Linked DNA regions of Notamacropus eugenii. The protein of the gene in region 4 interacts with the protein of the main gene of each other region in a pairwise test. Links are inferred from orthologs where the notes say so. Each region holds a gene or a part of one and is shown on either strand. Other genes may lie near its edges.

Evidence for each region.
Region 1: the proteins of AGTRAP (region 4) and PITPNC1 interact in binary tests that used the Homo sapiens proteins (3 or more experiments, as listed by UniProt). The two-hybrid records come from large-scale screens. The link is inferred for Notamacropus eugenii from reciprocal best matches to the Homo sapiens genes AGTRAP and PITPNC1.
Region 2: the proteins of AGTRAP (region 4) and MIEF2 interact in binary tests that used the Homo sapiens proteins (3 or more experiments, as listed by UniProt). The two-hybrid records come from large-scale screens. The link is inferred for Notamacropus eugenii from reciprocal best matches to the Homo sapiens genes AGTRAP and MIEF2.
Region 3: the proteins of AGTRAP (region 4) and MIEF1 interact in binary tests that used the Homo sapiens proteins (3 or more experiments, as listed by UniProt). The two-hybrid records come from large-scale screens. The link is inferred for Notamacropus eugenii from reciprocal best matches to the Homo sapiens genes AGTRAP and MIEF1.

What each region holds. Positions count from the first base shown.
Region 1 is NC_092873.1:328,567,229-328,574,717, reverse strand, and holds the start of PITPNC1 (cytoplasmic phosphatidylinositol transfer protein 1), read left to right. Parts: upstream 1-4,485; 5' UTR 4,486-4,576; coding exon of another isoform or gene 4,577-4,624; intron 4,625-7,489.
Region 2 is NC_092874.1:335,796,896-335,804,635, reverse strand, and holds the start of MIEF2 (mitochondrial dynamics protein MID49), read right to left. Parts: upstream 3,009-7,740; 5' UTR 2,777-3,008; coding exon 2,668-2,776; intron 2,577-2,667; coding exon 2,552-2,576; intron 2,360-2,551; exon of another isoform or gene 2,207-2,359; intron 1-2,206. UniProt on the Homo sapiens protein: Mitochondrial outer membrane protein involved in the regulation of mitochondrial organization.
Region 3 is NC_092874.1:298,740,207-298,747,934, reverse strand, and holds the start of MIEF1 (mitochondrial dynamics protein MIEF1), read right to left. Parts: upstream 3,007-7,728; coding exon 2,857-3,006; intron 2,352-2,856; coding exon 2,174-2,351; intron 2,080-2,173; coding exon 1,817-2,079; intron 1,195-1,816; coding exon 388-1,194; 3' UTR 1-387. UniProt on the Homo sapiens protein: Mitochondrial outer membrane protein which regulates mitochondrial fission/fusion dynamics.
Region 4 is NC_092876.1:51,143,929-51,151,766, forward strand, and holds the start of AGTRAP (type-1 angiotensin II receptor-associated protein), read left to right. Parts: upstream 1-4,836; 5' UTR 4,837-5,049; coding exon 5,050-5,076; intron 5,077-7,838. UniProt on the Homo sapiens protein: Appears to be a negative regulator of type-1 angiotensin II receptor-mediated signaling by regulating receptor internalization as well as mechanism of receptor desensitization such as phosphorylation.

The DNA.
Region 1 (7,489 bases), on a different chromosome or scaffold from region 4:
TTACTTTATCTCCCTCTCTCCCAGCTATAGTTGTGAATCTTATTCTTATTACACTTCTGAACTAAGGAGCTAATTTTATAAACTAATTTTATAATCCATTTAATATGTAGGAAAACTGAGGCAGACAGTAAGGTTATCATCAGCTTTGGCAATGGTCATAGACACATTAAGACTGGAATAGACCCCATGGGACTGGGGAAGGAAGGAAAGAAAGAAGTAAGAAAAGAAGGAAGGAGGAAAAGAAAGAAAAGAGCTTAGATTCTTTCCATATCATAGCCTTTTGGTGTTATTTTTCAGCACTACAGTGTCAAATTTAGATTTTCTACCTCAAATAATGTGACTTAGCTTTAATTTAGTTGCTGTGCATATTTCTTATCCAAAACTGGGGGATATTTACCTAAAAAATAAAGTTTTTGCTAAAATGAAAAATATAAAGAACCATAGATATTTTTGCTGGATAACAGGTGCTATATTCTTCTAGCAGGCTCTGGATCACATAAACAAAACAATAAATTCTTGTTAATCATATGTAGAATCTATATTATAAGCCCGTTATAATACATAAGAGAATTAATATCACAATATTCAGATGACTTTGAGGTCTTGTTGATTTAGATGCGCTCACCAACAGAACAGATCATAAATCAGCCATGCCTAAGTATCCTTGGAACTCTTGTCCATTAACTTCCATAAATTTGACGTGGAGGTGATGGTGATGGTAGTGCTGAAGGTGGTTGACACAGCGTGATAGGGGCTTTCTTTACTTTCTTCTGATACTCTGAGTAAATCAGTTGGAACTTTTCACTTGTCCAACTGCTAACTTTTGCTCTCAACACATGACCAGCAAACCTTCCTTATCGATCAGGCCTAAAGCTTGTAGGAGGTTTAGAAAAATGCAGTAAGCATTAGCACAACATAAAAATTGCAATTAAATTAATAATCACTGTAGTAAATAAGAGGTTAAAAGAATCAATTAGAAAGAATATAAGGTTAAAACCCTCTGCTCTCCTTAAAGGATCAGCATGGCCAGAAAAGAAGTCGCTAGAGTGAAACAACAAGCAAGGTGAAGCTTCTATATTATTCCCACCCTCCAACCCCCAACCTGGGGCTGCACTGTGTATACCTCAGCAGCAAAGAACAAAACAGTCTCTTTGACCCTCTTAAAAGACCAGTCTGACTTATATTTAACAAAAAAAAAGTGTTCCTCTTTTCACAGTACATTTCATTGATGGCATCCTTTACTCCAATTTTTCTTTGAAGTTTTTAATTTGTAATATGTTGCAACCTGCTTATATCCACCATGTATTTCTCTATTTTCTTCTATGTAATATATATCTGTTCCAATTACCTGAGGACTATGATTTCTATGATTTGAACCACCAAAAGAACATTTGTATTAAAAAATGCACCTTTGTTTCTGGGAGAAATTTGGGGTCTACTTCTGAGAACCACCCAAGCTCAGGATGAAAGGCTCCAAGGACAGGATGGCTTCCTGGTGATGACATCTCTGGCCATGGGAACTCATGAAACAAAAGAAAAATATAAAGTGATGCTCATCCCTGGCACAGCCTTCTTTTATTTTTACATCAATCATGACACTGATAGAAAAGGGACAAAAGATGCTAAGAAATAACCTCTTGGCTCCTTACAGTTAATTATTCATCGATCCTGATTAAATGTAGAAATCATGTCTGTTCATGTAGAAGTCATGCCTACACAGTTGGGATGTTTGCAGTATTTTAAGTGACTTAATACCTTTCTAATTAAAATTCATATTTAGTGTTTCATTCTACATGGGGGATGTCAGTGGAAAACTCAGTCAATCCATCCAGTAACTTTTCAGAAAAAAACAAGCTTTCAAATACCAGACAAATGAAAAACAGATTTCAGCAGCTACATGCTGCTTCCTGAGTAACTGAAGAATGTGCCTCTTGTGGTTAAAATAAGGGATCTATTTAATATGGATGAAATACCAACACTCCAGGCATTTTCATTGACATTTCACTGTGACTTTTTGAACTTAAAATGCTGACATGAAAACCTATTTTGGTTGTTCTGCAAAGCCTGTAATCTGATTGCCAAAGTGAGGAAGAATAGGTATGGGTCTCTCCCTCCCTCCTAAAAGTTATATCTCAGGATCTACAATACAATTTATCATTTTTAAGTTTTATTTATGTATCACTTTTTCCCCAATTGTATCTCTCCCTCCTTCCACCTGGAGAGCCATCCCTACGAACAAACAAAAAGGGAGAGGCAGAATAGCATTCCTTGAAAGTTATCCAACACATCAATCAAATCTGTCAGTATATGCAGTGTTCCACATTCATAATTCACCCTTTCTGCAAAGAAAACTACATCCTGATATTTCTTCTTTGGGGCGAACTGTATAGCCTGTTACAATGACACTTTTGATTTTTGTTATTTTTCTAGCGTACATGGCTGTAATCGTTGTATATATTGTTTCCTGATTCTGTTTGCTTCACTTTACATCCGTTTATATCTTCTCAGCCTTCCCTTTACTTTTCATATTCGTCGTTCCTCTGTGTGCATAATATTCCATTGCATTCAGGTACCACAATGTGTTTAGCGTTTTTCCATTGAGTTTTTACTTTATTTCCAGTTGTTACCAAGAAGAGGCAGGTAGGTGGCGCAGCAGAGCTTGGAGTCAGAAAGGCATCCATTCAAATCCTGACTGGCATGAATAGTTTTGTGACTGTAGTCAAGTCATTTAATCTCTCAACCTCAGTTTCCTCATCTGTAAATGGATTCAAGGACCTACCTTTTCATTCTAAATCTACGATAAGTGAAAAAGTGCTTGCAACACAATTTAATTCATCTTCATTTCGCAAGTTACTTATTCCACTTTTTTCTCCTTCCAAATACATTTTCCTTACTATGGTGAGAATCGCCTTGCTAAAGCAGGGCTGAAATCATACTATTTCCACATCTCAGCTGTTTCAAAGGGGATGAGGTAGGTAAAGTATTGTTTCAAACTTTAAATTGTTATATAAATGCCACTGCAAATGAAGCCCAAGCTCTTTAGCCAGGCATTCAATACCCTCCGTTAATTTGGATCCAATTTTCATCTCTAGCCTTCTCTTTCCGGGATCTACTACTCTATGCTAGTCTTTTTCCTTCCCTTAATTTGTCACCACCTCATGGAATGGATTAGTTTAGCACATCACATTCCTAGCTGGAGCAGTGAAAATGCTAGTTCTGGGAACTGGGAAGAGATGAGAATTCTACCTAAGGATATTAGATCCTCCAGAAGCTTTCCCAAAGTAAATCTACCAAAAAATCGGAGTTTTCGGAAACATTCCCCTTGGGCCCTGCAATGTGATCCAACGGGTAAAGGGCCAGGAAAAACTCCAGACTAATATAGTCTCTCAGCCCCCCCCCCCCAATCCGAGCTCTTCGGCTCCGGGGCAGCTCTGCTTCAGGTCGCTGGCAGCAGCCTCCGAGTGACAAGCTGTTTGGTTTTAATCCTCCCCATTCTTTGCTGTACCATACATAACCCCTTTGGCCGGATGGGGCTATCCTCCCCGTGCTGCTGATGTCAGACACACGCTCGCTCTCCCACTTAGCCTGGGCAGGAGCGTACTGCAGGCTGCAGCGGGGACTCTCCAGCCCAAGTCCAGGTGGATACAAACTCCCAGGCACGCACCGAGCCCCAGGAAGGGAGAAGGGGGAGGGGGAGGCGTGGAAAAAAAAAAGGCAGCTCCTTCCCGCCCTCCCCTCCTCCAGAAACCGAGCTTGGGGGAACCTAGGAGCAAAGCAATGCTGAGCCGGGATTGTTCCTCCTTTCTACCCCAGCGCTAGCTAAACCGGGAGTTGCCTGGGGTGGGAGGGAGGGGGACTGGAAATCTTGTTTACCGCCCGAGGAGGAAAATACATCCAGCCTTTGTCTGGTGAAGTAAGCATCTCTCCTCTCTCTTCAGCTGCTATGGGCTCCTGGTGACATTAACATTTCGGAAGACTGGGGGAAAAGGGGTGGGGGGCGGGAGGCGGTGGATTGGTGGATTTGGTTTTTGGAGGGGAAGTGGGGGGAAGCTTTGTGCATTCATTTAGATTCGAAAATTTTGTATTTCCTTCCCCCTCCCCCCCCCGGGGTCGGGCAGGTCTTGATCTCAATCGCCCCCTTTTCCAGCCCCGGCTGCTAATCCCGAGCTATTTCGAGCGGGTCGCCCATCCTTTGTGATTCTGGCCACATCGCGTGGTGAGGGGGGGAACCTCTTGGGGGGAAAAAGGGAGGGGGAAACCCACGAACCCAAACCTTGACTTGCTCTCCGCGTGAGGAGGAAGGAAGCAGAAGCAGCAGCATAGCGGCGGCGGCGGCAGCTCCGAACGCTCGGGGTGTTGTTTTCTGCTCCGGGCAGCGCTTGGGTGTCTGTATGCTGGCACTCGGTCTCGCCCGTGTTTGAGAAAGCTGATCTGCCTGGGGGGCTGCCCCCCCCCAGTGCCCGCTTCGGGGGGCCTGCCTCGCCTCGGAGAGGGTGCAGATAGAACTCGAACTCGCCCTCCCGGCCGTCCCTTCTGAGGTTCGCTGCTCTGCACCAACCCCCGGGACAGCGGGAATATGCTCTTGAAGGAGTACCGGATATGCATGCCTCTGACCGTGGACGAGGTGAGTGCAGCTGCCTGGGGAGAGGGGGAAAGGGGGTACGCCGGGGTCCCGATTTCATCTACACACACCCCTTTCTCCTCCTGTCCTACAACCCTGCAGCTCCCTCAATCTTTCATATATAGTGTATTCCACATTGTCCTCCGTGGTCGCTCTCAGGAAGGCCGTGACCATTGCAAAAAATGAAAGATAGAAAGAAGAAAAAAGCCAGTAAGGAAATCCTGTTTAAACACCACCCCAGAAGGAGGGGGGGCAAGTTTGGAGTAGAAGAGAAAGGAATTCTGCTGTTTTCACTTGTCACCGTAAGGGTGTGTCGGGAGGGAAGGTCTGAGGCGCTTCCTTGCTCAAAAAAGGTCTTACGTAGGTGATGACTTGGGTGGAAGGGAAGGGGGGCAGGAATACATTTGGACTGTATCGAAAAGACTCCCCCCACCCCCGGGCTCTCGAGTGTAGACGGGCACCCCCTTTATCTTTAATTGAAAACCAAAACAAAAAGCGAAAACGAAAACCAACCCCTCCCAAATCCATCCCAAAACAAATACAAAATACTACCACTACTCAAGTTCACAGCTCCAGGCTCCTAGAAATCTGAACTGTTAGGGCGCACAAGTCAGCCTCCTGTCTTCATTCCCTCTTTAAAATGTGAGCCGCCTCACACCCTCCAGGTGCTCCCGATCGTGCCCCAGTGGGGGAGCCCTTTCTCTTCTCTCTCTGTGCCCTGGTGATTAGGAGAGGCTGGCATTCCTTACACTCATTCAGCAAAGAAGTAGGAAAACCTTTGGAAGATTTCTCACCTTCATTCCCCTCCCCCCCATCCCTCCTTTGCTCCTCTTCCTTCCTTTCCAAAAACTCTTGGGAAAAATTGGGGAATACAGATCATTGTGTGTAGCCTCCAGTCCCTAATCCTGGAAATAGTGTTGCAAGGGAAACTTTCCCTCCCCTCATTGCTCCTGGCTTGAGGATTTTGATTCTGTAGGAATTCCAGGTGGTTTCAGGGGGTCCAACTGGGCCACAGGATGGCGCCCCCAGTACACAACTTTTCTTTCTGTCTGCAGTATCTTTTTGCACCTTCCCCTCCTGGGTCCTGCTGCAGTCTTGTGGTAGTGGAGGTGCTGGCTGACATTCTTTCAAGTTCTCATTCCAACCAAAAAACAACCAAGCCTGTCTTTATTCAGAAAATGATGGGCAGATGCACTGAGTGTCTGGATCATCCAAACAGACTGTTTCTTCCTTTCTTTCTTTCCTCCTGTCTTTTGATCATTTCATAACTGGCTAGCATGTGGGGATGGGAACCAGGGAAACTTAAATAAGACCACTATTATAAGTTGTTAGGAGCTTTAGAAAGTTTGGGACAAGCATAAGTTTAAACTAGCAATCTGAATGGTTTTTTTAATGTGAATGGATTTCCATGAATGCATTCAGTCATTCAATTCAACAAATATTGGTTGTATTTAAATGTGTATCTACTGGTATAAATCACCTTGTAGGGCCCTGGATGAGAGAGGCTGATGTGGTTTACTGAAAGACTAGTGACTGCCAGCTAGGAATCCAGTCGCTCTTTCTAGCTCTAGCTCCATCACTAATTAGTTGTGTCACTGTTGGCAAGCCATAGTATCTTTCTGGGCCTCAGTTTCCTTATCTGTCAAGCAAGGGAAGTGGGATTTAGGATGATATCCAAGATCCTTTTCTGGTCTGGTATTTCTTGTCTAGATGTCCACAAATAACTACAGTATTTTACATCATATTCATGATCTTGTCATAGTTAACCTCAGAGGGTGGGTTGACTTTGGTTAGGGTCCTCAAAGAAGTTTTATGGGAAGGGGTAGCATATAATCTTTGAAAAATAGCTGAGGATTTTGATGGGCAGAGAGGGCATTCCAGAAAGAGGGAAATTCATAAAAAAAAACCTTGAAAGCAGGTAAGTACAAAGCTTGTTTAAGGAACAGTGAGTAGGTCAGTGATTAGTAAAGACTTGCTTGAGTTAATGAATGGAGCCTGGAGTTTGGATGGGGGAGGAGTGGGAGAAAAAAGGATGCATTTTCTTTCTGTCTCTGTACACTATCCCACCATGACTAATTGAGTTGATCGAAGTTATACCACTTCTAGAAAGCTAGTTAATTATTTGGTTTGTGGTGGACCTGTGTAATCAAGGGGAAGGGTTTGATATCTTTAATATTGCATGGAATAGTATGAAAAGTATAGAAAATTACTATAGTTGTGTGTGTGTGTGTGTGTGTGTTTCTGTGTGTGTGAGAGAGTGAGAAAGCCGAGAGTGCTTAGTAAAAATTCTTTCACCTTTTGCTAACATGAAATAAATGCCCAGGGCCATTTTGGGAATGTGAGCAGTTATTTTATATAGGTGGAGGCCTTTTACATACTAATTAGCAAGCTGAAAGGAACCCCTCCTTTAATGATGGATAATTAATTTGGCCTAAATAAAATATGATTCATTATTTGTAAGAGGTCAGGTTTTAAAGTAGCTTGCTTCTCTGTCTTTCAGAGTTTTAAGGGTAATTTAAAATTTCAGATGTTCCAAACTGCAAGAAGGTCCAGAACATACAGTTCAATCCTTCATTTTACTTAGGAGAGCTGGTACTTACAGAGGGATGATGTTTATGGAAGGTCACCTGACTCTTCTCTTGCAGGGCCTGGACTAGAACTTAGGTCTTTGATACCTAGTGCCAATTGTTTGTTCATTCCTTCCCTAAAGTAGTGAAGTCAGGTAGGTAGCTAAGGAGATAAAGTACTGGACCTAAAACCAGAAAGACTTGAGTTCAAATCCAGTCTCAGACACCAAACTACCTGTGTGACCCTGGGCACATTACTTAATCTGCCTACATCAGTTACCCCATCTGTAAAATGGGCATA
Region 2 (7,740 bases), on a different chromosome or scaffold from region 4:
AGCTTTTGTTAATATCAAATTCACAGAGAGACAAGAGCACACCTACCCTGGGCTGTACTTCTCTACGCTGGAGCCAAATGAAATAGTATCAACTCTACTTTTTTACCAGGCAGATGGTAAAATAAAATAGGATTTTTTGCTTGGAGGCTTCTCACAAGATTCCAAAATCAGAGAAAAGGTGGGGCTAAAATGGACAAATACAGTACTTAGAAGTACTCACTGGGGTCTTTGGTCCAATGCTAATACCCTCTCACAGAACTGCTCCTACGTTCCATCCCTTAGTCCATTTTTCTCACTGTAGCAGGATGAGGTCAAACGTTTATAGACTTGGAGCTGGAAGGGACCTAAGCAGCTTCCAGTCCAAAACTCTTCATTTTACAGATTGGAAAGTAAGGGAGATTATGTTATTTACTTCAAGGACAATGTGAGAAATGAATATTTCTCTCTTATACTTTAATAATTATAATATTAGGACCAAAGTTCTTCCCCTTTTCTACTTCCTCATCTAGAAATCAACCAGTGTGGGAAATTTCTCTTAAGAGATTTATCCAGGCCAAGATCTAATCAGACAGTAAAAGAAATTCTAAGTTTGGGCTAAAGGATGCATTCCTGCTTATTATGTTAGCTTACAAATACGTCCAGAGAAAATGTTGACTCTCCCTATTATCAAGACAGGTGATATTAACTAATGTCTCTTTGACCAAGATTTGAGTGACCTAGGTCAAGTACCCCAAGATAGCCTACCTCCCATTTGATTAACCAATCAGGGTTGAGCAGGCACCCCTGGGGAACACCTCCTCTCTGAAATGTAGAAGAGGGATGGACAAATGGCCATTCTTTTATTAATAACCTGCTAGCCTTATTAATAAAATGATTAAATTACCCAGAAATTATGTCTCTCTAACTTTTTAAAGGGTCACAACAAAAAGGTATTAAGGATCTGAGGTGGGACTGGAACTCAGGTTTTCTGATTCCAGTCACTGCACCAAGAAGTCTAAACCTAGGAAGTGCTCTAGTGTTCTTTAAAGGAGACTCCAGAATAGTGCAAAAAACAACAAACCAAGAGTCAGGAGACCTGGATTGCAGTTTCTACTACTAACTGTGTGGCCACAAACAAGTCATTTCCCACTCTGAGGTGCCTTAATTTCCTTCTCTGTATAAAGAAGGGGTTAGGCTAGATGGTTCCTTGAAGCTAAGACATTCTAGTTTTCTGCAGAGGATAATTGTGCAAACATGACCTGTATTTTCAGAGACTGGTGGACAGTGGTTGGCCGGTAATCCTAGAGCTGTATCAGCCACTCTGGAGAACAGTCACTCACCCCAAGGGGCCCTCTCTCACAGGCACACAGACTGTACTTCAGAGGGTGAGAACTTATCAGGAAAGCTCCAGTATCCTCAGAAAGGATCTTCCAGGCCACTCCCATTCCCAGCAGGTAAGGCTGGGGAAGAGGGAGCCAGGCTAAGCCCAAGTAGGGTTCTTAATGTCCCCCTGGGGTTCATGAGGACAATCGGGCCGTCAGTATCCAGTTCCCCACAGTGAGTCTAAACAGCTCAGCCGCAGGCCCACAATTCAGCTGCTGGGCAAGAGGAACCAGTCAGCGTGGGAAGTACAGGAGTTCTGACCCTCCCAGTTAAAAACAAAGCTGACTCTAGCAAACACTCCAAACAACTAAGGGGGCCCTCTTTGGTGTAAAGGACTAAACTCCTCCCAGCTTTGCTAGGAGTACAAGTAGCTGCCTGACCTTGGGCAGTTTGCCGCCCCTTCTCTGGACTGAATTTCCCTTACTACAAAATGGATGGATCCTATATAGCAAAACCAGGCTCCGGATTACCGGCTCTCTAAAGTCCATTACCTAGGACTCACCTAAGAACCACAACAGAATGGGGGGCATTGATTCCTGACCCCCAGCCCCAAGTCGCACCTGGACCACTCCCAACTCCTCTCACCCCTCCTCCGCCCCCACCCAAACCTCTGCCCGCTCCCCCAGGCAGACCTCCACGTCCGTAATTCGCAGACCCGGCCCTGGTCCGTCCAGGGAGGCTTCCCAGCCCAGGCTTTGCAGGCTAGCACCCCGGAAGTCGTGGCTAAAGAGGGGCGGCCTCGCTCTGTGACCTTGGGCAGGTCCCTTGACCTCTCTGAACGTCCCAGCTCTGGATCTGCGATCTCCCCAAGATCCCTCTTCCTCTACCTCCGATGCCGGCTTACCTCCTATCCTTTCCAGGGCAGGAGGGCCTCGGGGCCCACCTAGGACGCGTGCCCCGCCCCGGTCAAGTCGGATCCCCGCAGGCACCGGGGGCGCCCCTGGTGTAAGGGGCGGGGAGGGCGGTGGGAGCATCCTTCTCAGCCTCGGGCTCCGGCGGGGCCGGCGCAGGCGCAGTCACCGCGGAGGCTCCCTTCTCCCCTCCCCCTGGGCCCCGGTGCGGGACAAGGACCCCCTGCTGGGCGAAGGGCTCCTCTCCCTCCTCGCACCTCCACACGCTCCCCCGCGCCCCGGAAAGGCCCCGGACGTCGGCCTTTGGGGCCCCTCGGACAGCGGAAGGCCCTTCCTACCTGCACTGCCGCTTCACCGCATCACCTGGGAAGAGAAGGCCCGGCCCACGGTGAGTCCCTCGTCCTCCTCCTCCTCTCCCCCGACTCCTAGACCCAGGGCCGGCCCCCTCTCTAACCTCCAACCTTCTCCTCCCAGCGCGCAGCCGCAAATTCGAAGCCAAGGGGGCGGAACCCTGACGCCCGGCTCGGGCCGGACGGACTACCTATGCGCCCAATCAGAGGCATGCCTTCCCGTCCCGCACGTTCCAAAACAGACCTCGAACGGCCAATCACCCAGAGGCCACGCCCCCTCCCTAACGGGCATTCCCGGCCGGGGCGAGGCGTCCCCGGGGGCTGCGGGGGCGTGTCTTCGGCGTTAAAGGCACAGGATTCAAAGAGCGGCCCGAAGGACCGCGGCAGCCCGTGGGGATTCCGGCTTGGAATGCCTGCGCTTCCTCCTACGGCGGAAGTGGTCGTTGTGATGAAACGCGTCTGTGACGTCACCTCCGGGCTCTCGAGAACTAGGCCTGGAGCACGTGGCAGTAGGAGGAGTCGGGGCTTGGTGACTTCATGGCTAAAGGCCGGCCCCGAGCGCCGGTGCTGGAGGCGCCTCGGACGCGCCTTGGGCGCGGCTCCGGGCCCAAGGTTCGGCTCCCCCGGGACCACACGGCTCTGAATCCCTCGGTGGTCTGGACAGTGACACAGAAAAAGGCCGAACAGCAGCCCCTGTCCTCAAGGCACGTGTAGTCTAACGAGAAGAAAACCTGAAACCACTGGGACAAATTGGGGAGGCCCAGAAGGCAGGCGCCGGCATTGAGGAGAACTGGGAGGGCTCCCTGGGAAGGTGGGGGACGCCGGGGACCTGGGGAGGTGACGCAGAGGAGGAGAGGGTCCCAGAAAGGAAGCGGAGCCTCTCCTTGCCCCGGATGGGGACGGTTACTGGGAATTCCGTCCCAAGTTGGGTCTGTTGAGGTTTAGGGGTGCTGGGACCCCGAGATGAGACGGGCAGGGCCTGCCTGAATGAATTGGCCCCAAGCTTTCAGCCAAAGATAAGGTTTGTTAGAGCGCAGGTAGAAGGGTGTGATTCTGAAGATTCGCCATCCAGGCTAGACTCTTAAGGGATCCAAGTACTGGTAATTTCTTGGAGGCGTGCTGGAGCTTATGTACAGGAAGACCGTGGGAAGGATCAGGCTCTAGAAGTGGCCAGTAGGCTGGGGTGACCGAAGGAGCGGGGTCTAGGGAGGATTTTGATGGCAGGAGCCGGTAGGCTGGAGTGACTGGAGCCTGAAAGCAGGGACCTAGACCAAGAGAATGGGGTCTAGATAGACTCAAGGGTGGGAGGTGGCTGGGGGTGAACCAGAGGTAACAGACAGTGGGGAGCTGGGCAACAGAGAACTGGGAGATTGGGTGTAGGCCATAGTGAAAGGCCAGATGAGGGGATGACTGGGATGCCTCAGGTGACCGACGGAGACTTGACCGTATGGAAAGTTCAGGGAGAGTTGGGGGCGGGGGGAGAGGTTCCAGAGCCCCTACCTGTCAGGTCCACAAAATAAAAAAAGTTTTACTCTTACCCTATGCTCCAGACTGATATTTCCCTCCCCTAATGTGATGGTTTATCAACTCTGTCTCTTCTTTTTAGGTGGGTATTGTAAGGCCAACCATGCCAGGCACTTTACAGGTAAAAGAAGTGGACAGCAATAACTTGGACCACTATTATCAATGTGAAAAGCAAATTTCTGAGACAAGCTTGTCCCTCCATTAGGAATGTGGGGGAAAATTACTGTTCAGGTAAAGGGTTGGGACCAACCTCTGAGGATCCTTACTTCTATGGTGAGAGTCTGTTATACTGAGATCAAATCCTGACCCCATGCAAAGGCCAGAGTGTATCTGAGTCCCAAAGAGCCAACTTTCAAAAATATGTATATATTGTTATTGGTTTTTTTTGTTTTTCATAATCTGTACTTTTTAGTGTATGTCCTTCATCTCTCAGAGAGCCATTACTTATAGTGCAGAATTAAAAAGAGAAAAAAATAACAGTTAAACCAATCAGGACAAGGAAAGAAGTCTGACATTATATGCAGTGTTCCACACCCATAGTCCTGACAACTTCTACAAAAAAGTTGCTTTCTCATATCTTTTATTTGGGGACAAGGTTAGCATTTAATTTTGAATCTTTTGTTATTTTTTCCATTTACAAAGTTGTAGCATACATTCCAAAGAGGGAGAGAACAAATGCATGTAGAAATAGATAACATATATAACATGAATAAGTACAAATATATACAAAGTAGTTAAATCCAAGGTACTTTGGGAACTTGAGCAGTAATGATTGAGGGAGTCAAGAAAGGCTTTATGCAGAAGGTGCTTGAACTGCCTCTTAAAGGAAGTAAGGGTCTCTAATTGGCAGAGTTAAGAAGAGAGAAAATACATTCTAGACATGTGGGTCAGACAACCAGTGCAAAGGCAGGAAGATAAGACATTGTGTGTGAGGAACAATTAAAATTCCAGTTGGGCTGGATCTCATGGTGTAGCAGGGGGATAAATGTCTGGTGAGTCTAGAGAAGTTTATATTTTTATCCTATTGGCAATAGGAAACCACTGGAGCTGGTTGAGTAGGAGAGTCAAATAGAATAAGGAAATTACTTGGGCTATGGGTTTGGAAGATGGACAGGAGTGGGGAGAGGATTGAGGCTGCTGTAATAATCTAGGTGAGAGGTGATTAGAATCTGAACAAACGTTGGTAGTTGTATGAGTGAGAAATTGGGTCAGATGTAAGAGATGTGATGGTAAAAATGGCATGATTTTACAACTGATTGGATATATAGAGTAAAGGAGAGTGAAAAGTTGAGGATGATGCTGAAATTACAAACCCATGAGACTGGAAGGATAATGGTACCTTTGACAGAAAGAAGGGAAATTTGGAAGAGTGGAAAAGATGATTTTAACTTTGGGGATGTTGAGTTCAAGATATTTTTGGGACAACTGATTTGAAATGTCCATTGGGCAATTAGTTATTCATGGCTGGAATTTAGGGTAGAAACTGGGACTGGATATATTGACCTTGAACTCATCTGCAGAAGGATGATAGTTAAAGCCATATGGGCTGAAGAGGCAAACAGTACAAACTATTGAAAAACAATGTATGATTTCAATAAAGTTGCAGGCTTCCAAATAAACTCAAAAAATCAAGAGCATTTCTGTATAGGAGGAAAAATCCAGAAAGCAAAAATAGAAAGAGAAATTTCGTTCAAAATAATTACGAAATTTAAATATTTGGGAGTCATTCTACCAAAGAACACCCAATACTTGAATCAATACAGTTATAAAACAAACACTTCTTAAAGAGATAAAGAACAACTTAAATAGTGGAAAGGATATTCAGTATTCACAGCTGGATCATACCAATGTAATAAAAGTTACAATACTAGTTGAGTTTCAGGGGTGCTAGGATCCCAAAATAGCGACAAGTGAGTCCTGCCCAAATAAACTCTATCCCAAACCTTCTTTCAGCCAATGACAAGTTTTATTAGAACACCAACTGGGTGAACATAATTCTAAAAATCTACCACATTGGCCAGACTTTTAAGGAATCTGAGCATTGGCTTAGACTCTTAAGGAATCTGAGAAGACACCCTTCCTTGTAATTGTTATAGGACAATCTATTCTCTTTACCTTTATAGAGATAGACAGTGGAGGCATCCTTGAACTCCTGGAGGATAAACTCCTCTTGCCATATTTCTGGAAAATTTCAGTCAACTTTTGTATGAGCAATGAATCCCCTACCTTGTAAATCTCAGTTGGAAGAGAATCAGCACCATGTGTTTTGTCCCAGGAAAGGAGCCTACTACTTCTTCGGTTAGGGAGGGATTGATTTCAACCTGAGGTAAATGGTCACTGGCTTCAGCATTGATTGATGATGGTCTGTTGAGAACCTTATGGAAGTGTTCAGCCCATGATCTCCCTAAGATCATGTCCTTATCACTAATCAATGTGCTTCCATCAGCACTGAGTAGTTGAAATGAATCGTAGATCTTTGTCCCATAAATAACCTTCAGGGCATCACAAAAGTGTTTTGGATTGTTACTGTCAGCATAAAACTGAATTTCATTTGCCTTCCTGCCGAGCCAAGAATCCTGCATCTTTCTAAGCTTTGCGTGTACTTCAGTTTTGATGGAATTAAATGCTGCCTTCTTAGAGATGAATGAACTGTCCTGCTGGTAAACCTTGTGAAGTTCTCGTTTTTTGTTTAGCAGTTTCTGAATTTCCCTATCATTTTCATCAAACCAGTCTTGGTGTTTGCGAGTGTTCTGACCCAGATGAGCAAATACAGTACTATACACCAAATCTCTGAAAGCTGCCCACTCCCTTTCTGCCCCACTGTTGCCAACTGTGTGTTAACACAACTTTCCCTCCAAATTAGTCACAAACTGTTTTCACTCAGAGATGAGCTCTAATTTGCTGACATGAATTCGATAGTCATTTTGCCTTGGGGATACCCCTTTTGTTGAATGTGAATATTTAGCTAGGAGAGGATAAGTCTGTGATCAATTCTCACTGTCACATCCTGTCTGTCTCTTCTTACAATCACATAGTCTATTAGATGCCAGGGTTTGTTGCCAGGGTGCGTCCACAAAGTTTTATTGTGTTCACATAAATAGAAGGTCATGTGATGCACAAGTCTTCAGTAGCAAATGACCATTGCTGCTACTGTTTCCAACTCCATTCCTCCCTAGGACTCCCTGCCAAGTCTGGTAGTCTCTTAGTCATTGCTGGGAAGATTCTTGCCAGAGTCCTCCTTGACAGGCTGAACCTTCACCTGGAAGATGGTCATTTCCCTGAGAGCCAATGTGGCTTCGGAAAGGGCCGAGGAACAGTTGATATGGTGTTTGCTGCCCAACAGCTCCAAGAGAAATGCCAGGAGCAGAACAGAGGTCTGTACACAACATTTGTAGATCTGACCAAGATCTTTGACACTATTAGTCGTGAGGGCTTATGGAAAATTATGTCAAAATTTGGTTGCCCAGAGAAGTTCATCAATATTTTATGTCAATTTCATGATGGCTTGTTTGCCCAGGTTCTGGATAGTGAACAATGCTCTCATGCCTTCCCAGTCACCAGTGGAGTGAAACAAGGCTATATGCTCGCTCCTATGTTTTTTAGCATGATGTTTTCAGCCATGTTGTCAAATGCTTTCAAGATCAGCTTAATTT
Region 3 (7,728 bases), on a different chromosome or scaffold from region 4:
AGACCAGAGCAGAAAGAAACCAGATGGACAAAGAGGCAATAGTGAGACACACAAAAAGAGGCTGAAAGTAGAGCCAGGTTGGGTAGCTGAAGGGGTGAACTTGACACAAGTTACCAAGTAACTTATCAGCTTGGTCCCTCACCTTGCTCCCCACCCTTCCTGATGCACTCAGGAAGTTGGCCTTGCTGAAGGGGCAGTGAAAAAAAAACTGGGGGCACAGTGCTTAGTGAGAGAAAAAAAAAGAGCAGGGCAAGAAAAGGCCATTCTAATTGGCAGGTGATGGATGACCAGCAAGAATGGAGGCACCAAGGAACCCAAGAGGGGCCACCTCGGAGCAGGCATACCCAAGGCCTGCCCACCTAATACCCACTGCGGATTTCCCCTCCGTTATGTCTGCAACAGGACCTCTGGCTCAGACAATGAGCAATAAAGAGTGTACCCCAATTCATCTATTTCTCCAGGGGTAAGCTCTGAAAATAGGTTCACCTTGGGGTTCAGGGCACTAGGCAGGACTCCAGCCTCCAAGTAGCCAATCAAGGCCCTGAGCGCCTGCAGAAAGCGGTCAGCAAGCATGTCCTGAGACCAGTCAGTCTCCTCTTGGGCCAAGTGGAGAATGACATTTGTGAGCTGACTGGCAGTGAGGTGGCCCAAGGCCGGGCTGGACTTGCATATAGCCTTAAGGATCTTGAGGCACAGCGCTCGACAGCCCCCGTCACCCTGGTCCAATGCCCGGAGGCGGGCAGTCTCTGCAGGCCGCAGGCTCAGCCTCCACAAGTTATCATACTGGGCCAGCCGGTGGGGCCTGGCCACAAGGACTGTGTCCCCCAGGGTCACTGAGGGCAGAAAGTCAATGACAAGGCGCCGGTTTTGCTCATACTGCACTTCCAGGGTCAAGGCCTCAGGGGGTGGAGCTGGGCGGATCACGCAGTCCAAGAGGGACCCAATGGCAGGCCAGTTAATGGAGCCCGCCACCACCTTCTCAAACGTCTCTGCCACAGCCTTGGGCGAGAGGTAACCACCAACCACACAGCGGTCCCAGTAACTGCTGCCCCGGGGAAAGTACTCTGGGTTCTCACGCCGCACCAGGAAGAAGCCAGGGACGTTCATGATGGTGTCCTCCCCAGGGATGCAGGACCACAGGTTCTGCTCTAAGACCAGAGGCACGATGAGCTGAATGTGGTCAGCAGTCACGACCTGCAAGAGAAAGCACACAGGGAAGAGGGTGTGATACTGAAACGTGTCCCACACAGAGTCAAAGAAACTTGACTCCCTCCTGCCCAGACCAGCCTCCACTGCTCCTACCTGCTAACAGTGGAATGCCAGAGGGCACAAAGGGGACACTAGGGAACTCTGGAGGAGACTCCAGAGTCTCAGGTCCTGCCTGTGCTGGCATTCCTAACCTCACCCTACAAACTTTCTTACTGACCTTGCCTTATCTGTGTAACAAAGGTTCTGTCTGAACCAGATACAGCAGAGGGAGTATCCCTCACCACTCAGCCCTTAGAGCAGTCAAGGTCAGCCCCACTGTCCGCGCACACACAAATACAGAAGCTCCCTCTTACCTTGGTAGCTTCCTCAGGGCCTAACCCATGGTTTTACACACAAAAAACCCAATAATGGTATGCTGATTTAAAAGGAAGCTCCCCTCAAATAAAAGGGAATGGGGAAGGTCATAATGCTGTCCTGGAGAGGCAGGGCTTATGATGCAGAGGATTCTATTCTCTCCCAAGCCTGAGACATCTTCGGTCTGAATGACCAGGATTATCAGAGAACAGGACAAGGTCAGAAACTGCTCCATCAGTGAAAAGACCATTACCTGCAAGTCATCATAAAGGCTGCCACTCAGGTACATGTCTCGCAGGGGCATGTCTGGCAGCTTGGCTCGGAGGAAGCTCCGGAGCTCAGCACATATGTCCACAGCAGCCTGCTTGGCCCGGGCCTGCTCACCAGGGGGGATGGCTGCCCGGTTCCGATAATAAGCAAACAGCTTCTCCTGTAGGGACAGGCGGAGCCGTGACTTCTTCAAGTCTACCTGGCTCTTCTTGGTGGCTGGTTTGGGTCTGGGGGGGCAGAACCCATCTGCCAAGGAAGGTAAAAAAAATCCACATGAGAACCCCTGTCAATGCTGGTCCACCCTGTTCTCCCCTGGGATCCATCCATGGTCGACTCTCACCTGCGTCAAAGGCTGAGGGCTCAGTGGGCAGAGTCTGCAGGGACCTGCTCAAATTGGTCTTCATGTCCTGATGCAGTAACCGTGAGGATCCCATCCAACTCGGCTCCTCCCAGCTTCTTTTCCCTGAATGGCTCAGGCGAGTGGGGCTGCTGGGGGCACTGATGGCCCGGTCATACATCTACAACACCCCCACCACCAAGACGTGAGAAAGGAGGGTGAACAACCCAGGGCATTCATCAGAGCCTGCACTATTCCTCACTTGTCTGAACATTTACTTAAATTCCTACTGTGTGCTAAAACACTGTGGGTGAATAAAGTAAGGATAGGATTCCTCAGGGAACCTCGTGGTCCTTGTACTCTAGGGCAGCAACATGCCAACAGATACCATAAGACACAATAATATATGACCACATATTAAAGATTCTGAACAGAGTACCACAGGGGATCCTAGGGATTTCTCAGGATGGAGAGGAATTTAGCAGGCAAAGAACAGAGAGAACCCCTTAGGTGTGGGACACAGGGGAGCTCAGGAGAGTCCCTACTATTTGTTGTTATCAAGGGCAGGGTATGTGCTAGGTTTGGAAAAGCAAAGCAGCTCCAGGCTGTGGAGGGATCTGAATCTCCATAGGGAGAAGCCTGGATTCTGCCTGGTGCCAGCATCACCTCTAATCAGCCTCACTCACCCGTTTGACAGCTAAGGTAGCAATCCCCAGCATGGCAGCTCCGCCCACCCCCAGCACCAGCCGGGCATTGGAGAGCACAAAATCGATGGCGGTACCAATGCCATTGTCTTCCTTCTTGCTTTTTCCCTGGCGCTCACCAGTCCCTGCCATTGCTCCCCTGCAGGTAAAAGCAGAAGACAACACATAAAACTGCCAGTGAGTGACAACTTACCAGTCAAGACAGCGTTCTCTCCAGTCAACCCAGGCTATTGTTTCTGCTCAGACCTTCCCGCCACCCTCCTGACCTCATGTCACGGCCAACCTAGAGGGCCAGCTGCCTCCTTCCTGCCTGTCCTTAGACTTCTGAACAGATCATATGGGCACTATCCGGATACCAGCAAGCCCAAGCCTCTTGCCTCACCCTGTCTGCTCCAGAGGGAGATAAGTAGACCTTATGACACAGTTGACAAGGTGAGGGTAGGGGTGAGAATGAGTACATCTGTGATAGGAAGTAAAGCTCTCCCCTTCTTTACATGAAAGTTTTTATCTAATACCCAGAAGACCCTTTCTTGTCTCCTGAGGTGTAGGCCACCCCATTCCACCAAGCATCCTGGTTGCATCTGTAAGGAGCTGCATGGTTACTTCTCATAAAGAAACAGAGAATAGGCTGGTCAACTGCCCTGGCACAGAAGGCAATATTGGGTCAAACGGGGAAGAAGCATAAAAAAGAGAAAGCATGCCAAGAAGCCTCTCTGCTACTCACAGCATAGATGCTTATTCTTGGGGAAAAGTGTTTGGGTGAGAAAGATGATATGCAACACTCTGGTGAGGACAACCATGTGTACAGTTGATAATGATCCAAGCAAATACTTCCACAGAGATACTATGCTGGAGTTTTAATTAGAAAAGGAAACCAATTCTATGATATTCAAGTTTAGCCTCTGGAATCGAAGAGGCCTCACGTCTCCAGGATCCCTGGGTTCACCAGGGCCAGTCCCTGGTCACCACATGTTGGTCACTACTTTGGCACAACTGAGATGCTTCCTAAATAAGCCTGCATGCTGAAGTCCTTCCTGGGGCTCACAGACCCCCGGCTGTCTGCCAGCACCAAGAAAAGAACCACTGAAGCACTCTGGGCACCTCATTCATGGGCATTTTAGCGGATCTTTCACTCCTCACCACAATGCCTCCAAAAGCACTTTGATTATCCACATTGACCCTGGTTAATAACTCTGGGGTGCCTTCCCATCACTGCCACTCCAGCTGCTCAAGTATTCTTTAAATTAGAATATAAGCTCCTTGGGGGGGGGGGGGGGGGGGGGTTGCTTGTACACTTAGCACAGGAACATGGTAAGCACTTATAATTCCTGGCTGCCAGCACTGTTCTCCCAGAGTTTAAGGCCCATAACGTCCCAACGTAAGAACCAGGACACACACCACAGGAGAAGAGGGCCTTATTCTGGTCTTCCTTCAGTTGAATGGTCAGGATGGAGCCTGAGCCTGGAGGCCTGGGAAGGCAGTTGCAAACACGTGCCTTCCTGGCTATGGCCTGGAGGACAGGTGTCGGTTGGGGCTATTTTTAACTTTCCCCGTAAGGCGGAATTTCCATAGTTACTCCGCCTCCAAGTCCTCTCCACCCCTTACGGAACCTGCTTAGACAATTCAAACTAAAATGTATGTAACAGTATGACCGATAGCTTCCAAGTCTGAATTTTCACTGCCTGCAAACTAAAAATCCTAATCTCATTTGTGAGATTTCTAACAGAGAGCACCAGAACACTGTACTCACTGCCTGGGTCTTATCCTGGAAACACAGATGCCATAATTGGGGGGCTCTGTCCCCCAACTACAAAGAGACCTAGTGGAGAGATTCTCCTGGTCCCAGTTTCTGGGGTTGAGGAGGAAAGGGTCTCTGATAACAACAGATCCTCCAGCCTTCCCATGTCTTGTGACAGGTTAGCTTCCTAACATCGAGTCACCAGGATTTAGCCTCTGGGATACATTTCTCCCTCCTTTAACTGAGATGAGAGAAGCCCTGGGGACACTTGAATTTTAATGCAGACCTGAGCTTAAAACCAGGCCGACCTTCCTGCTCAAAGGGCAACACCCCTATAACTTTGGGCTAGATAAGATTTCAAACATCTGGTGACTTGAAAGAGGAAGTTTCACAAGGTCAACCGGAGAGCTGAAAAGTCAAAAACAAGATTCCCCCTTTCAGAGTCCAAATGAATTGATTCCTAATTATTATGGACTATCTCAAAGAATTAGTATGGAGCTGTAAGGGGAGCCAGGGAGGAAGAAGTTAGGCTGTATGACCTTGGGAAACACCAGTGACCCAAAACCTCCAGATACAGATCTGGAGAAGGGCCAAGCAAGGCACTGTAATTTCAGGCAAGTTAATTAACCTGTTTCTCCAGGCATAAAATGGGACTATGGCTACTGGCCACACACAGACTGAAACCGGGGGAAGACAAAGCTGAAAGGGGCAACAGCAGAATACTAAGAAATATTCTATTTATACAGGAATTTCACTGATGAATAAAGGGCCACCTCCCCAGGAGATTTTCAGTAAACATGGCTGGCCTGACTACAAGGGGATTCAGTCTGGGCTAGAGGCTACACTTACCCTTTACCCATTACTATTACCTAACCTCAGGGAGTAGGGGATGGGGGCAGGAAGCAGAGAGCAGCAATGGGGGGATGGGGAGCACGGAAGGCCAAAGTACATGGAAAGTGCTCCCGATTAAGTAGTGCTTGGAGGTTAACAAAGTCCCCAAAGCAGGAGTTACCTTTAAAGCACTTTCTCCCCATCAACCCAGTGAGAGTCAGTACTCAAGTGTTATCGACATTTTGCAGAGATGGTGTAAGCCCTCTTACTAGTAACCCCTAGAGGAGGCAGGGGGACGGAGGTGTCTGTGATTTCAGCATAAGGCAAAGTGGCCCCTGCTTCCAGGACAGACCTTGGGGCACACAGAGCAATAACTTCCTGGGAGACCCAGTCTCTCTGAGCTGCCTGTGGGTATGGAGGCAAAGCTTGGTGGAGAGCACAGGGCCAACCTGCAAACCTGAATCCACGCGCCTCTGGCACATAACTGGCCCAGTGACCATGGTCAATTACTCTCAGGCCTCCAGACAGCTCTCCAACTTGTCCATGAATATGAGTTAGTAGTGAAAGAAAGCTCACATCATCAGTACAATTCCTTTGGACGGTGGCATCTTTCAACACAGATATAGTCAGGAAATAGGACAAACTCTGCTGTACCAGCAAAGGACTAGGCTCTGGGCCTCAGGATCTGGCCAGCAGTACATTCGGCACAATCAGTCCTATTATGCTAGCTAACTCCCTAAGGAATGCTGCATCCACCATGGCTCACAAGTGCTGCAGATGGATGAGTGGCATTGTCCCCACTTTACTGACACAGAAACGGAACTGAGTTTGTGTTTCACCTAAAGACGACACAAGAAACCAGGAGACTAGGCTCCACTCCTGATCCCAATCTGCAGTCTTTTCCCTGCTGACCTTCCCTGAAATATATATTAAAATGCATTACATTAGAGAGCCAGCCCTCAAGAGAGGAGGAGTCTCATAGTTTGGCATTACAGGAATCAGACACTCAGAGGTTAAGTGACTTGTCCCAAAACCTTACACACAGCTAATAAAGTGGTGAAACCAGGCCCTGACTCTAGGCTGTGTACTTCCCACTGGGCCATGCTACCTGTACTCTGCTCTGTTAATCTGAAAGGCACTTCTCCCCCCACCCCTCCCACCCCCTCCAAACAGATAGCTAGGAGGTCACTATGTTCTGATCTATGGATGTAGTGTGACCCTGAACTCACTTTTACATGATTTACAAAACACCACTCTCCATCTTATGGAATAATGAAGCTAAGACCCAGAAAGGAGAATGTGACATGGGTTTGCCATGTCACAGCCAGTCCATGGATGCCAAGTGCCCAAGTCCAAAGTCAATTCTATCCCCACCTCCCTGCCTCCCAACCCACCATTTGTTTTCTATAAACTCTTCTGGTCTTCCAGTCTTGGGGTGTTCTTACCAGGGTTAATCTTGCTTCATTCCTTTAGTAGGTAATATGTCCTTTTATGATGATCTGTCACTGGAATATTTCTTGTTCCACTGAATCACTTTGGCACTCGAGCAGTTTCAGTTGTTCAGAGCATTTTCCCCCCCTGTATCTTCACTTTGATACCTTTTGATGTGATTTCAGCTAATTTTCTAAAATTCTCTTTGGTTTTCTTTGATTTCTCTTTGTTTTTTGATCAACATTAGAGAAGCCTCCCTTTAGGCCTCAAGTTACCGACTCCTTGACTGCAAAGCTGGGGAAGTACAAAGGGCTTTCTCTACTTCCACCTCCAGGAGGCGAAAAGTTCAGGAATTATTAACAGAAAGTAGAGATACATGGTATGGAGAAGTAAGTTGGCCAAGACAACTCTGCTCATAAGAGGTACAAAACCGGACTTGGTGCTCCTAGAACACTGATAGGCCTCGGATGAACTCATCCTTCCTGCCTTGGCGCTGACTGGGGACTCCTGTGGCCCTTTTCCTCTCTTCCTGACTCCACTCTCTCCTGACCACTCTGCAGTCTCCTAGGCCGCTTCATCACGCCCCCCAACTGTGGGTGTTTCCCAGAGCTCTCCACTGGCCGCCTAGTCTCTCTATACTCATCCTCCTGAGCCTTAACCAGCTCCCAGGGTTAAATGATCATTTATATGCAGATGACTCCCAAATCTATATATCCATCCCCAGTCTCTTGCCTGAGCATTAGCCTCCACAACACCAATTACCTATAAAAACATTTCAAACTCAATGTCCCCAACCTATCTCAAAGTCACATACTGGTATCACAAAGCTCACTATTTCTCCCCAGAACTTCAAT
Region 4 (7,838 bases):
TCATTTGAATCTCATAACAACTATGGGAGCTAAGTGCTATTAATATCCCCAGTTTACAAAAGAGGAAACTGAGTCAGTGATTTATCCAGTCACACAGCTAATGTGTCTGAAGCTGGATTTGAACTCAGGTGTTTCTGACTCCAGAACCAGCACTCTAACCACTATACCACCTAGCTGAACTATGTCATTCTGAGAACCAATAAAATCAAATCTTTCCATGTGGCCCAAATCTACTTTTCCAGCTTCAATTTCCAATGTACAGTCAAACAGAATTCATTCACTGGATAAGTATGCTTTCTTAGAACTTAAGAACTCCAGCTAAATCTAATCCAACATTCATTAATTAAACTAAAGCAGTCATCAAGGTAGTGAAGGAGCCAGTATGTTGTACTTGAAGTCAGGAAGATCTGAGTTCAAATCCTGTCTCAAATACTTCCTAGCTGTGTGACTTTGGGCAAGTCACTTGTAACCTTTGTCCATCTCAGTTCCCTCATCTGTAAAATGAGTGGATTGTAATAGCACCTCAAATAGTGGTCATACAGATCAAATGAGATAATATGTACATAAATATGTATATATATAAACTTATATGTATACATATGTAAAACATTTTGCACTATGAAAATTGCTAGCTATTATTAAGCCCCTATTGTGAAAGGAAAGAGAAAGATGATAGTTTGAGGGAATAGTAGATTGTAAGGGTTTTTTAAGACTTGGGGAGACCTGGGCATATTTGCAGGGAGCAGGGACGAAACCAGTAGATACAGATATTGAAGCTTCAAGAAACAGGGGATAATTGTGGGAACAATTTGCCAGAAGAGACAGGAGGGGACAGGAGCAAAAGTTTATACTGAAGGGTTAACTTTGACGAGAATTATCATGCTCTTTTCATTAAAGACTAGACTAACGGAGGAGAAATTGGCTATGATGACAAAAGATTTTGAGATGTAGAGAAAAGGGAAAGAGAGAACTCACATAGAGTGGCCTCTATTTTTCTCAGTAAAGCATAAGAGATCTGCTGACAAGGTAATGCGATGGACGGTAGAGGAAGCCTGAGGAGAAAAGAAATGGTCTGGAGACTTTGACAGAGAATGAATTAGCGTTTTAATAATTCATCTATGGCCTTAATAGCAAAGAAACAAATTTCTCTCTGCACCTTTGTGGATTTTTCTCTGAATTTTTTTCTTTGCCACAGGAAGGAAACTCAAAAGAATAAATCTAGCAGCACCCTCATTTTACCTAAGAGACAATGAGACAGTTAAGTTCTTATGGTAAAAAGCCTGTGGACTGGAAGTTCAGCATGTCAGCAAGGTGATATGGCTGCTCCCAAACCAAATTGGGTCATGGAGTTAGGACCAGAAGGGACCTCATCTAGTTCAAATCCTTCATTTTAGAAATGAGGACACTTGGGTCTCAGGAAAGTGAAGTTGGCTTGTCTAAGGTCATACCAAGAGCAAATGAAAGAGTCAGGGTTTGAACTGCAGACTTCTGATACTGTATCCAAGATGCTTCCCCTCCATAATATACAGACCTGATGAAACCTAGGGCTTTGGTAGCTACTGTAACAGTATCTAAAACAAAGGAGGCGTAGCCCTGCTCTGTTGTACACTCCTTACTTGATGAAGGAGATTGAATAAACTCCCATAATTCCAAGATAGATCCCAAGAACTCAGATCATTCTCCCCTCCTGCAAGTATGCACAAAATTCAGGAGTCTACTATTCAGGTCTATGTGTTTTCCAACCTTGAATTACCTCCAATTCTTTGTGCGTGGAGTTGATTTGTGACTCCCTCCCTATCATCCCCTTAACTCCCAGCTTACACTTCCAGCTGTAAATCTCTCCCAGAGAACTCAGTACTACATCCTCTGCCCCCTCTGGGAACATAATTTTACTTTCCCTGAATCCAGCTCGACTGGTTCTAACTTGCTGCCCCTCCTACGCTTCCAGCACCAGCATTAGCTGGTTGGGAATGAATATAGTATCAGTTCTTTGAACTAAACAGATCATCCCTTGTCCTTCATCCTGCTCTGGGTCTCGCCTCCCCCTTCCTAATCTAACACAACAAAGCCCTGGGTCCTTTTCTTACCTCAGGGTACAGAGGCCTGCTGGGTACTCTTATTATTTTACTCTTTTAACCTGTGGCCCATGAATTTTTTATCCCCACATATTCTCATGAACCTATCACTTTTTATGCTCTGGGATGATGATACAGACAAATGAGGATAAGAGTCTTGCCCCCTTTCACCCAGAAAGACCTAGATAGCATAAACAGGGTATGTAGAAATTTGTAGGCCCTCCCCATAAGTACAGCTGACATTTATAGAGAGAGATTGAAGAATCACCATGCTCTTTCTAAGCATTATCTTATTTAATCCTTATAACTGTCCTCAGCAGTAAGCACTACGTTTTACTGAAGAGAAAACAGGATCAGAGAGGTGAATTTGGTCTCACACATGGTCTCGCAGTCAGAAGTATCAGAGGTAGATTTAGAGCCCAGGTTTTCTTGACCCCACAATTAATACACTTTTCAATATATCTTGTCAAACAGTGAAAAAAGCAATTGACAAGCATTTGTTAAGGACCTGCTATGTGCTAGGTACTAGAAATAGAAAGGCAAAAATGAAACAGTCCTTGCTCTCCAGGAACTAACATTTTATTCAGGGAAATTTGTACAAAGAAAATTGAAAGGAGAGTGCTGACTCATTATCAGAAGATCAGAAAAGGCCTCATTTTTGAGGTTGATCTTGAAATCCCATAAATTGTTAGTACAGTGGAATCCTACCATGTGGGATTTAACCTAAATCCTACCTTAACAAGCTTATATGAGAGGTATTTAAATACCCCTTTCCCTTTAGATCTGCCATGTCTTTGACTGCACCACAAGGGTAGGGATGGCTGGGAGAGACAGGACCATAGAGATGAAGAAGCAATGGAATGAGGAAGAGGGATAGGGAAAAATAAACTATTCAGTTGTGCTTATATGATTTGTGGGTGCCACATGTCTGTAGGCTCCCAGAAAAGGGTTATCTTGCTTAATGAAGAGAATATTGGACTTGGAAGCAGAAAACCCCAATCCAAACCTCTTCTCTCCAACCATGACTAGCTGCATGACCAAAGATAATTCACTTTAACCTCTGAGCCTCAGTTTCCTCATCTGAAAAATGGATATAATACCTACAGTACTTCACTGGGTCATTGGGTGGAAAGTGCTTACAAACGTGTTGTTGTCTTGGAGAATTTACCCTTTTCAATATTTTAGTTTCAACCAGGACTGAATAATCTACTTGATTAAGGAGACTGAATAAACTCCCATAATTCCAAGACAGATCCCAAGGACTCAGACCATTCTCCCCTCCTGCGAGTATGCACAAAATTCAGGAGTCCTCCTTGAATTATTGGGGAAATGCTCATGTGTCTCCTGGATGAAGTTGACAGTATTCATCTCACAGTGAAAATTATCCTGACTCTCCCTCATGTGGGTAGGGAAAGGCAACCATGCCTTTTCACAACGCTCCCATAGTACAGCTGTGAGGGACAGAATGTGAGCCCAGTCAGGCATTTGTCCCATTCCCTAGCCTTCCAAAGCTGTGTTAGGCTTTCCTTCGGAAAAGCTGTTGCAGTTTTCCTTTCACATGGTATATATTTGACATGGTTTATTAGGAACTCTTTCAAAAGGATTCAGGGCACAGGAAGAAGGGCAGGGTTTTGGTTCTGATACGAACACAGTTCTCCTAGGGCTAGGTTTCTTAACATTTTGTGACACAGAGCCATCTCAGCCTGGTGAAACCTATGGCTCTCTTCCCAGGGGGAAAAACTTTAAATAACTGAATGCCAAATTTCAGTTCATTTGAAAATGCCAAAGACTTAGTGGTGAGAGAACCTCATTTTTGGAGTCTCCAGTAACTGTGGTTTGTGGAGGAGTTGGGGCCTTCCTTATCTACAGTGGCACCTGAAGGGTCTCATCTCATTGAGCCCTTCCCCTGGAGCAGGGTTGGGCCAGTGCTCTGGAGCTCTTGGACTCACCGGTCTATCCCTGGCATTTGTTGGACAGCTGTTACCTCTGGAGGTGGGCAGGGGATGCCGGTTGGCCCTTCTCCACCAGGGTTGCTCCCTACATGATGGCTGTAGTATACCAGAGGATGGCAGGGGACTTACAGATTCTTTTATCAGTCTTCCATCCCATACATGAACAACTGAGACAGATCAGGGAGGAAGGATGGGGGCGGGGGGCGGTTGGAGAATGCCCTTCCTCTTCTACAGGGTGATGGAAGGGCCTGCCTAGAACTTCTGGGCCTGGTGATCAGGGGGAGGAAGAGGGGCAGAAGACGACTTGCCCTAATTGGGTGCAGCAGGAGAGAGGGAGACAGACAGACAAAGACAGAAACACAGACACACACCCAGAGAGAACCACAGACGGACAGACGGACGCAGAGCTAGAGAGGGAGCATGCGTGCGTGGCCCGAGCCCGGGGCTAGGCCAGGGGGGAGCAGGGACAGAGCGCCCCTGGCCGCAGGGGGGGCAGACGCCCACCAGGGGGTGGCAGGTGTTGGGAAGGGAGGGGGCGCGGCTCCCCCAGACTCGCTCCTGCCCACAGCCCTTCGCCCTCTCTCCCGAGCCTCAGGGGTCCATCCTTAGGGCCAGGGGCGGCCCGAGATGAAGGGAGAACCTCAGGTGCGGGCCGGGCTCGGGGGCCTCCAGGCCATCCCTCCCTAGAGAAGTCTCCGCCCAATGTCGAGGCGGGGGGAGGGGCGGGGGGAAGGGCGGGGGGAGAGCTGGGCTCGCGCCGCCCGGCCGGAGGGGGAGGGGCGCAGCGCGGTGCAAGGTGACGCCGTCTCCTAGCAACCAGCCTCGGCTCGCGGTCACGTGCACAGGCCGTGGGTCAGGTGGCCAGGCCGCCCGAGCCGGACCTAGGGGGAGGAGGCGGGGCCGGGAAAGTTTGTTTCCCAACTTTCCGGGTAGAGTCCGATCATCCGCAGCCGCAGCCGCAGCCGCAGCCCCGCCGCCGCCCCCTTCTCCGCCGTCCGGTCCCGGCCCCGGCTTGGCCTGGGATGGAGCTGCCCGCCGTGAACCTCAAGGTAGGGCCGCGGGTGGAGCGGGGCGGGCCCGGGGACGGAGGCCCGAGAGGGACAAAGGGGTGCCCGGGGCGGAGGGGCGTGGAGGAGAAGAGGGGGCCGAGAGGAGGGAGAGGACGGGGACGGGAAGGGGCTGAGAGATCGACCGAACGGGGAAACTGAGGCCCGCCCGGGGTCACCGAGGCTGGGATGCCCGCAGCTGGGTCAGACCCGCTCCAAGTCGTGTGCCTTGCGAGCCAGGGAGGGCCACTGAGGAGAGAGGAGGCGGAGGGGGCATGGGGCCGGGAGGAGAGGGGAGCCCGGGGATCAAGGGGGGCAAGGGAGGGCCGCCGAGGAGAGAGGAGGCGGAGGGGGCGTGGGGCCGGGAGGAGAGGGGAGCCCGGGGATCAAGGGGGGCAAGGGAGGGCCGCCGAGGAGAGAGGAGGCGGAGGGGGCGTGGGGCCGGGAGGAGAGGGGAGCCCGGGGATCAAGGGGGGCAAGGGAGGGCCGCCGAGGAGAGAGGAGGCGGAGGGGGCGTGGGGCCGGGAGGAGAGGGGAGCCCGGGGATCAAGGGGGACAAGGGAGGCGCCTGGAGAAGTTATCCAGGCCTAGAAAACCGGCCCCACCTGAGCCTGGGGAGCATGTGCTCCAAGCGACACCCCCCCCCCCCCATCCAATCCGCCTGGGAGCATATAGATATAGATATCTATAGATAGATATATGTACACACGACCTCGCAGCATGTTTTACCCAGTTTACTGAAGACTGAAGAGCGAATGAGGAGGAGACGGCAGAAGTTTGGGGTGTCGCTTAAGAATTTGGCAGCTTTGGCATTCATTTGTACTTTGCTTTAAAAAAACTGTATAAGGTAAATTTTAGGGGAATTTGTAACCTGTGACAGGCTGCTTCTGGGTAAGTTTTCTTGCTGTCGCAGAAATCTTTAGTAAAACTTCCATCTTTTCTCTTCAAACATTCATGGTGTCAGAAAGTGGGATTTAAACCCTACACCTCCCTAAGGAGACCAGATTCATGAACCATCACATTTACGTATATATGTATGTGTATATATGTACATATGTATGTGTATATATATTTATCAAGGTGGATAAGCATGTTGAACTTGGAGTCAGAAAGATGTGTCCTGCCTCAAACACTAGCCTTGTGATCATGGGCAGGTCACTTAACTTCCCTGGACCTCAGTTAGGCCATCTGCAAAAATGGGTCCTGTGTATGAGGTGTAGCACCCACTTCCGGGCATTTGTTGTGAGTCTCAAAGAAGGTCATCTAGCTAAAGGGCTAGGTCATAGATTTGGAGTTGTTAGAACTAGGGACCAGGGATTAGAGGGAGGAGAGCTTTAGGAGGGAGAGAGGGGACCTGGAGCTGAGGGCAGGCTAACCAGGCCAGTTCCCTTATATCAGATAAAGGACAAGAAGGAGAGAGGATCAGGGAACTGAGGACAGGAGGGTTTTGAGGAAAGAGGGAGACAAAAGGGTAAAGGATGAGGAAGATGGAAGTCTTAGGGAATGTGGGGGCTGGAGAGGTGCGGAGACAGCAGGTGGGGTCTGAAAGAATGAGGACAAAGGGAGGAAGGGGGCCAGGGGATGGAAGTCTACGCTGGGGAGGGCTAAGGGCCTCCTTAGCAGGAGAGGAGATGGGGAGTGGGGCAGCTGGACAAGGCAGAGTTCTTAGGGGTGAGGGAACCTAGAAACTGAGGAGGAGGAAGCCCAGTGGGCAGATGGGAGAGAGTCCCTGGGAGTGAGGGGTAGAAAAGCTTAGAATGAGTTATGGGGGAGGGGGACAGCCTGGGGGAGGCAGGGTGTGGTTGGAGAGGAGGCCCTCAGGTTTTCCCTGACCAGCCCCCATTCCTGGGATACTTCTCCTCTCCATCTCCATCTTCTCCCTGGCTTCCTCCAAGACCCAGCTAACATTCCAGCATCTGGAGGAAGCCTTTCCCCATCCTGTCTCAGTCTAGCCCCTTCCCTGTGTTGACCCTCCCCACATGTCCTGGACTTAGCTCCTGAGCATGGAGGTTTGCATGTTATTTTAGATGTTAGGCTGCGAGCCCCTTGGCCAGGGCCTGGTGTTTTCCTTCCTTTGGATCTCCAATGCTTAGCCCAGTGCCTGGCACAGAGGAGGCCCTCACTATATGCTTGTTGACTGACTGCAGTGGAATCATGAGGGAGAGGAGGAATGGAGAATTAGGAGGGAAGTGATTGGGTGGAGGAGATAGAGTTGACAGAACTGAGAAACCAGGCTATGGGTTTCTATGGGAATAAGAAAGAGATCGACTGAATGGGGAAACTGAGCACAGAGCGGGTTAAACGGCTCACCCAGGGTCACCGAGGCTGGAAAATGCCTGCAGCTGGGCATATAGGATAAGGAAGAGCAGATGGGGTGGCTGAAAGGCTAAGGGACAAAAGGAAAACTGAGGAGCAGAGGGGGAACCAGGAGGGAAGCCATCAGGGGACAGAGGGATGCCATCCAGGTGCAGAGGGAGGAAGATTCTGGAGCTTAGCACCAGGCCTGGTACATGGCAGGCACTTAAATACTTGTTGACTTCTTGACGATTTGGATATAAGTGGAAGGACACAGATGGAGGGAAGAAGGAACTGAGACTACTGGAGGCTCGATGGGCTTGTTTAGAAAGAAAAGGGCTGAGTACCCTGTGATCACAGGCCTGGGTACTTGTCCTAGGCTCCTCTAACCTACAGACCTCCCATGGGGACTTTCTGAAGAAGAAGAAGGGCTGGGGATTGCAAAAAGGAGAGGACCCAGCCCATCCCAG